Linked DNA regions of Saccharomyces cerevisiae S288C. Changing the gene in region 1 together with any one later gene gives a genetic interaction. Each region holds a gene or a part of one and is shown in the gene's direction. Other genes may lie near its edges.

Region 1 (4,223 bases):
CTTAATATGTATTCAATGAATTTATTTGGTGATTGTCACTTGGAGAATAGCCACTTGCACTAACCAAAACTGGAACACCAAAAATGAGGCAGAGAAGATAGGAAAAAGATAGAACAAAAAATTTGTACATAAATATTTATAACTCTGTAGGCTTTTCTTCTCTCGTATTTTTACTACGTGGCCACATACTTGGTAACCTGACAAATTGGAATCTTGGTTCAACGCATCGTTCAACGAACCATTTTTTTATTTGGTATTCAATGACACTGCCGATCTTGGGAATATTTTCAAGTTTAGACCGTGAGCCAATTAGCGACTTGATTTCAAATTCCATTCTATATTCAGGAGAAAAAGAAAACATCAAAAAGTATCCTGAATTGCCCTCCATACCGTTTTCACTACTGCTACCGTTCGAAGTAGAAGCAAACTCCTCTGCATTAGTTAAAGATACGGTCAAACACGCCTGAAACCTCACAATTGACACTACTAGATTTATGGGGAGTGCGGCAATACCAGGCTTTGGATAGTTAAGTAATAGTTTTGTTTCTACTCCTAAAGTTAAGTGGTCATTTAAATCTATATCAATTTTAGCCTCTAGCTTTTTATTTCCTGAATTTGGCGAATATTGTATTCTGCAATTCGAGAAAATGGGGAAATCATCACCTGTATCCAGTTCAGTTATTTTTATGGTATCCAAATATTCAGGCAGATCGGGTGATTTTCTTCCAATAAAATCATTCAAGGAATGAAGGATATTGTCCCTGTGCCAAGCCTCACTGCGGAATTGCTGTATTATTTGGGCAACTAAAACGTTGAACCAGTCCAATGACTCTGCAGGGTGCACGTCGACATTATAATAGGTTTTCTCTAAAATAAGAGCTAGTTCTTGAAGATGTTCATTTTCTGCCTCTTCATTGAGCTCGTAGTGTTGTTTAGCACCCTTCCTAACAAGAGAAGTCAGGAATTCGCGAGATATAAAGGGATATTCTTTAAATTTTGATCTGTGACGGGAGGCTGCAGGTTTCGGATTCTTACTTTTAGATGGCTCATCACTGAATATAAAGAACTTTAGGAAAAAGATGAACAACAACACTATGCTTAGCTGTCCTACAAAAAACCCTTGAGCAAACGACCATCCAGAAAATTTGGAGGACGTTGCTAACGATCCTAACGAAGAAGGATGCAACACGCTTTGCATTTGCAAAGCTTGAATTGCATCATCGAGACCTTTGAAGCTCCCGTTTTTACTGACATTAAACTCTGAGTTGTTTGAAGTTTGCTTTAAGTCATTAGTAGTAGAACCCTTCAAATTCTCCATGATTAGTCTCTGTAAATGTTCAGGTAGCTCTTTGCTTATATAATCGTCAAACGTCATTAACGAATCCGTTTCGGTGGATTCATTCTCACTATCAGTCATTTTCAGAAAAAGGCTACAGGTATTATATTGACTCTCTCAAAGTTCTTTCATCTCATTGAGAAAATTATGAGGGGCACTTATTGTTGTAGATGATCTTTATTGGATGTTGACGGTTCTTCGGAATTGAAACGGATAGGCAGAAAGTGAAAAAATAAACTATTAAGGAAATACATGAAAAGAAGTAAACTGAAATGTATACAAGGGCAACCCGTTCCACGTTGGATTGACTCAATTGTGTCATCAGTAGGAAAATAGATTAAAGTAACCTCAAATAACGGCATAAGCAATGAAGCATAACAGGCAGATGCCAGATGAAAGCTTGGAAAACATAAAAGTGCTACTGAATCCTAAATTAGGAAAGCCAGTCAAGTCACTTACGAGTGCACAATCAAAAGCTTGCTATCATACGCTGATCAGTAATAAAAATTTGAACAAGACAAGTGATGAATACGAAAAGTTATTGGCAAACTATATCCTCCTTTGTGATGAAAAATACCTATGTAAAACCGTAATTCCAGATTCCCGATTTTGGGCTATATTGTGTGATAATTGCCAAAAGCTAAGGTCAGAAACGTTGGTAGCAAATCTCATTAGGATTTTTAATGTAGCCCTTAAATGCCAAGATTCTAATAAGAATGAAGTTATTGTGAGCATCTGCCACATCTCCAGAGAGAACTCTCAGCTCATTGGAATACTTTTACAACTTTTGTCCCAAAGACCTATTCATATACCGTTGTTTACGGACACTATACTATGCATAACCCTATTTTTAAAATGCTCACTTACATTATGTGAGACATCACTATCACACGCCGTAGAATTTGTACCCAGAATCCTCATTTTGCTATTTCAGTATAACTTTCCAGCTTCCATGTCTGAATTACTTTACATAGAAGACTTGCAACCACTAATCCTTGAAGAATTTGTACCGTTAAAGCAGAGGCTAATAAATTTTCTATCTTCGGTTAGTATTGATGATTATTCCTGTTCGCTTAAAGCTGATCTTCTTACAGCCATCAAAGATAACTCCGTATTCCAAAAAGGGTTAGAAATGGAAATGGGCGATCTTCCCAGTATAAATTTATTAAATGCGTATGATACATTCACATTCTTAAACAGTCCTAATGGGTCTTTCAAGAGACTTTACACTGAACAATTGTTGTTTGGCGAGAACGATTTCCCTCTTTATGAAGCAATATTTAAACTTTCAGACCAATTTAGAAGACTTTTCAATCTAAGTGGGAAAAAAGAGAACCAATACTCAGACTCAGAGCGTGATTTAAAATTACAAATTGCTACCGCTGTTCTCAATCGACAAACATGTTTTTACAAAACACTCGAGTTGTTTTTGAGATTTTGGATAGAATCATTAGCAAAATCGCAAAGTGATTTGGTTTCACTGTTAAATTTAGCTATTATCACTTTAAAATATGTTTGTTTGTCATCCAGTGATTTGGAAGCAGCAATACAGACGAAATCCCTTCTCAAGACCCAAGTTGTTGCACTTGACTCTATGAGATATAAATTTGCAAGAACATTACAATTAGACTCAATCAAAAAAGAACAGTATCGAACCTGGTCATCTAGTATCGCTAGCTTCGATACCATGCTATCAGGCCAGGTTCGTGATTACGTTCGTCATCAAAGACTTCTTCAATTGCAAAAGGGAACGTGGGTTTACGCAGAGAACCCACTGAATCCTGAAGCTGGCACGCCTAAAGTCTACTTCCTCATAGTTTCAGATAACCACGCAAATTTATTAGCCAGAGAATTCGAAACACAAACAAACGATTTACCTTATCTATTCGACAATAAAATTTTAACAAGTCCAGGTTCTGAGGCATTAGCTAATGGCAGAACAAAAGTTGTTGTTTTGAAACATATAACCTCTTTCAAAAGCATAGAACTTACTACACCGAGTCGTCGGACGAGCAGTAATGTTTACATCAAATTAGATGAAGCCAATGTGTACACTGGAGTTGAATTAAAAGATCGTAACGACAGGACAGTTTTGAAATTTTATTTAGACACAGAAGAGGGAAGATATATATGGCTAGACGGATTGAAATTGATATCTCCATTCCAGCATGAAGATATATCAGAAGACACGAAAGAACAAATAGACACTTTATTTGATTTGAGGAAAAATGTTCAGATGATAAATTTGAACGTTCGTCAGGACATCATAGTGCCTCCACCTGAACCAAGCGACGAGGACGAAGATGAAGAATTTTATAACTTGGAAACGTTAAAGAAAGTAACCCAAAATTTTTATTTTGATTAAGATACAAATTTGTCGTCAGACGATTTTTTTTTATTTATAACTTTTTTTTACTAGAATGGAATGTAATTTTGTAATTCTTTCCCGCAAGTAGCTTGAGTCTCCATTCAGTTCGTTTGTACTTGAAAAATCCTTTTAATATAGCATATAGCTTGCAGTTTATTAATACTCACTTCTACAGATTCAACAAAAAAAAAGGAATTTTTGACTAATCCCCTGTTTATTAGATGAATTAATGATATTTAAATACAAAGTATTAATAATATAATGACAGTGATAAGTATGTTGATATTTTATGATAATGACGATGAAAATTATTACCTACGGCTTTTGAAGCCCTTCTTCTTATTTGAATTTGTACTCTTCTGCTTTTTAAAAGTTCTTTCTTGATCTGCAATACGGTCGGTTTTGGTTTTTCTATAAGAACGTGCACCATTGCCATCTGCCTTAGCTTCTTCACGCTTTCTCTTTTTGCTGTTAGTGACTTTCTTGTTCCTTGATAAAGCACCTAATACTTTGGAATTT
Region 2 (3,634 bases), on another chromosome or scaffold:
CTTGAGGTTCAGCGATATCTTCGATCAGCTCATCACCCTTGTGGGTCTTAACGTACATGGGTTTGTCAGGTACCTCCACGATAAAATTTTCTAAGATAATCTTATCCCTTTTCTCTTTAAATTCTTGTAAGTCAGGATTTGCGAGTTCAGATGCGTTCATGTTCACCAGTTTATTTAAAGGCAATTTGCCCTCGACAACGTGTGCCTTCAGTTCCAAATTTTTTTTATCCTTTAAATTAGAGTATAACGACCTCACTTTCTCTGTGTATATCTTGTCCAAAGTACCAAACTCGACGTTAAGGCAAGCTTTGTAAAGTTCTTCTTCCAGATTGTGCGCAAACTCTTGCGATATCGATATAACGTCTTTCCCATCAGGAAGCTCATAAAGTTTTGCCTCAATTGTTTCGGGAACGATGAATTTGCTAAATAAGGTAGAGAACATTTTTTCTGCATTATACCTCAGTTTGTGTTCTTTTTCGCTTTCAAAATCTTTCCTAGTAGGCATTTCGTTTTCGGCAGTATCAGACTTGGCGGCATCAATGCTTTTATTCCTTTTTTTTGACCCATTGGATTTCTTCACCTGTTTGGATTTGATATGAATTCCTTTGGCACTATCGGGGCTCCTTTTTCGTTTCCTAGGGCTTTCCTCATCAAGAAAGACATCTGCATCATTGTCATCATGGTCATTTACGGGCTTGTAAACATCATCATGGTAATCTTCATCCTCTGAAACCTCTGCCTCCTTTGACGTTTCCAAATGTGCATACAATGATGGGTCGCACAATTCACAGTAGTACTTAGAATCTTCACTCATTAGCCCATCTATGGTGTCTTTACCATCAGTCATACATTTAATATGCTGCCAAGTGTCACAGCCATCGCACTGTACCATGTCGCCATGCGAATATTCTGCAGCATCGTAGTTTTCATTGTTCGCCCCACACAGACATCTAACATAGCCCTCATCCGCTTCGTCTACTTCGTCTGTTCTTACATTTTCAGTATCTTTCCTTGGCTCCTGAGAAGAATCAGACTTCTTATTCTTCTCTATGGCTGAATCAACTTTCTTTTTAGTTCTTTTTTTCTTTGGTGCTTCAGTCTCCTCCTGTAACAAATACTCAATATATTTATTCTGACCCTTATTAGATCTTGAAGAAGTACGGACAGACATAATAAATTTAAACTAAATAAAAGCTAAAAGTAAAAGAGAACCTAGGATAATCGATAGCTCCCTGTGTATAGAACAAGTCAAAATACTAAGATCTCGTCAACCTATCCTCTTTCATTGCAAGCCTTTTGGCCAAACTGCAGTCTGGGCATCCCTTTGCATGTCTTGTGAAATAGTATCCATCTCTCCCCAGCTCCCAGAAATGATATGAAAAGTTATTCGTGAAGAGTGATCCTAAAACTGAAAAAAGGAAAAAACAAAAATGAGCTAAAAAAACCACAACAAAAGAATATCAACTTCATTGCTTGGCGGGTCATCGCTTTTTTATTTCTTTCTGTCAAAGAATAATAAAGTGCCCATCAGTGTTCATATTTGTTACAAAGTGGTTTTCTGATTTGGTACTACTGCAGAGGCGTATTTTTTGCTTCAGTTACCATAGCGTAAGAACACTAGCGACTTTTGTTCGTGAACCAACAGAGTAGGATTTCTACTGCTACATCTCTTAGGTAGTTGGTTAGTCCGATCGCTCACTTTTGGTTGTTGTTAAGTACTTCATAAGTTTATCCTTTTCCTTTTTCACACTGAGCTACTTTGGGTATAGCTTTTGGCCCAAGGATCTTTGAATTTTCTCCAAAAGTACTTTATTTTATATCCTACAGGTTGCGGTTTTCATATTTTAAAAAGCTTTTAATCATTCCTTTGCGTATGGCAAACCCTTTTTCGAGATGGTTTCTATCAGAGAGACCTCCAAACTGCCATGTAGCCGATTTAGAAACAAGTTTAGATCCCCATCAAACGTTGTTGAAGGTGCAAAAATACAAACCCGCTTTAAGCGACTGGGTGCATTACATCTTCTTGGGATCCATCATGCTGTTTGTGTTCATTACTAATCCCGCACCTTGGATCTTCAAGATCCTTTTTTATTGTTTCTTGGGCACTTTATTCATCATTCCAGCTACGTCACAGTTTTTCTTCAATGCCTTGCCCATCCTAACATGGGTGGCGCTGTATTTCACTTCATCGTACTTTCCAGATGACCGCAGGCCTCCTATTACTGTCAAAGTGTTACCAGCGGTGGAAACAATTTTATACGGCGACAATTTAAGTGATATTCTTGCAACATCGACGAATTCCTTTTTGGACATTTTAGCATGGTTACCGTACGGACTATTTCATTTTGGGGCCCCATTTGTCGTTGCTGCCATCTTATTCGTATTTGGTCCACCAACTGTTTTGCAAGGTTATGCTTTTGCATTTGGTTATATGAACCTGTTTGGTGTTATCATGCAAAATGTCTTTCCAGCCGCTCCCCCATGGTATAAAATTCTCTATGGATTGCAATCAGCCAACTATGATATGCATGGCTCGCCTGGTGGATTAGCTAGAATTGATAAGCTACTCGGTATTAATATGTATACTACAGCTTTTTCAAATTCCTCCGTCATTTTCGGTGCTTTTCCTTCACTGCATTCCGGGTGTGCTACTATGGAAGCCCTGTTTTTCTGTTATTGTTTTCCAAAATTGAAGCCCTTGTTTATTGCTTATGTTTGCTGGTTATGGTGGTCAACTATGTATCTGACACACCATTATTTTGTAGACCTTATGGCAGGTTCTGTGCTGTCATACGTTATTTTCCAGTACACAAAGTACACACATTTACCAATTGTAGATACATCTCTTTTTTGCAGATGGTCATACACTTCAATTGAGAAATACGATATATCAAAGAGTGATCCATTGGCTGCAGATTCAAACGATATCGAAAGTGTCCCTTTGTCCAACTTGGAACTTGACTTTGATCTTAATATGACTGATGAACCCAGTGTAAGCCCTTCGTTATTTGATGGATCTACTTCTGTTTCTCGTTCGTCCGCCACGTCTATAACGTCACTAGGTGTAAAGAGGGCTTAATGAGTATTTTATCTGCAATTACGGATACGGTTGGTCTTATGTAGATACATATAAATATATATCTTTTTCTTTCTTTTTCTTAGTCAGGATTGTCGTTTAGCATAATATACATGTAGTTTATTTAATCACATACCACTGATTATCTTTAGAATTTTATAAATTTTTGAAATAAATGGGTGGCTTTTAATGGTGTCTATGTTAAGTGAGGCTTTTAGAATGCTCTTCCTGCTTTGTTTATTATATGTGTATGAAAGATATGTATGTATTTACATGTGTTTGTAGCGTCCCCAGTCAAAACCTGTGCGCTATACCTAAATGGATTGATAATCTTCATTCACTAATTCTAAAATAGACTTCTTCCCCAAAGAACGGTGTAACGATGAGGCTCTATCCAGCTGCTTATCTAAATCAACTTTAACGATGGATGATCTTATGACACGGGGATCTTTCTTTAAAGTTCTTAGAATTTCAGACTGTACCGCAGCTGATGAATCAAACAGCATTAAAAAGTGATATGCTCGAAAATGTTTTTCCTGGTCTTTCTTCATTATTTTA

The links. A genetic interaction does not mean that the proteins touch.
Region 2: of LMO1 (region 1) and AUR1, a mutation in one rescues a mutant of the other (synthetic rescue), as found in Saccharomyces cerevisiae (2 studies listed by BioGRID, with this or other methods).

What each region holds. Positions count from the first base shown.
Region 1 is NC_001144.5:133,780-138,002, reverse strand, and holds LMO1 (Lmo1p), read left to right. Parts: upstream 1-1,703; coding exon 1,704-3,701; downstream 3,702-4,223. Other genes in the region: SPO75 (Spo75p), read left to right, coding at 1-63; ERMES complex subunit MMM1, read right to left, coding at 137-1,417; YLL006W-A (uncharacterized protein), read right to left, coding at 1,482-1,658; DRS1 (putative ATP-dependent RNA helicase), read right to left, coding at 4,016-4,223. UniProt on the Saccharomyces cerevisiae protein: Forms a transiant heterodimeric complex with DCK1, that acts as a guanine nucleotide exchange factor (GEF) for the small GTPase RHO5. DCK1, LMO1 and RHO5 relocate to mitochondria upon oxidative stress and trigger cell death.
Region 2 is NC_001143.9:433,707-437,340, forward strand, and holds AUR1 (inositol phosphorylceramide synthase), read left to right. Parts: upstream 1-1,873; coding exon 1,874-3,079; downstream 3,080-3,634. Other genes in the region: BYE1 (Bye1p), read right to left, coding at 1-1,171; mitochondrial 37S ribosomal protein bS6m MRP17, read right to left, coding at 3,391-3,634. UniProt on the Saccharomyces cerevisiae protein: Catalytic component of the inositol phosphorylceramide synthase which catalyzes the addition of a phosphorylinositol group onto ceramide to form inositol phosphorylceramide, an essential step in sphingolipid biosynthesis.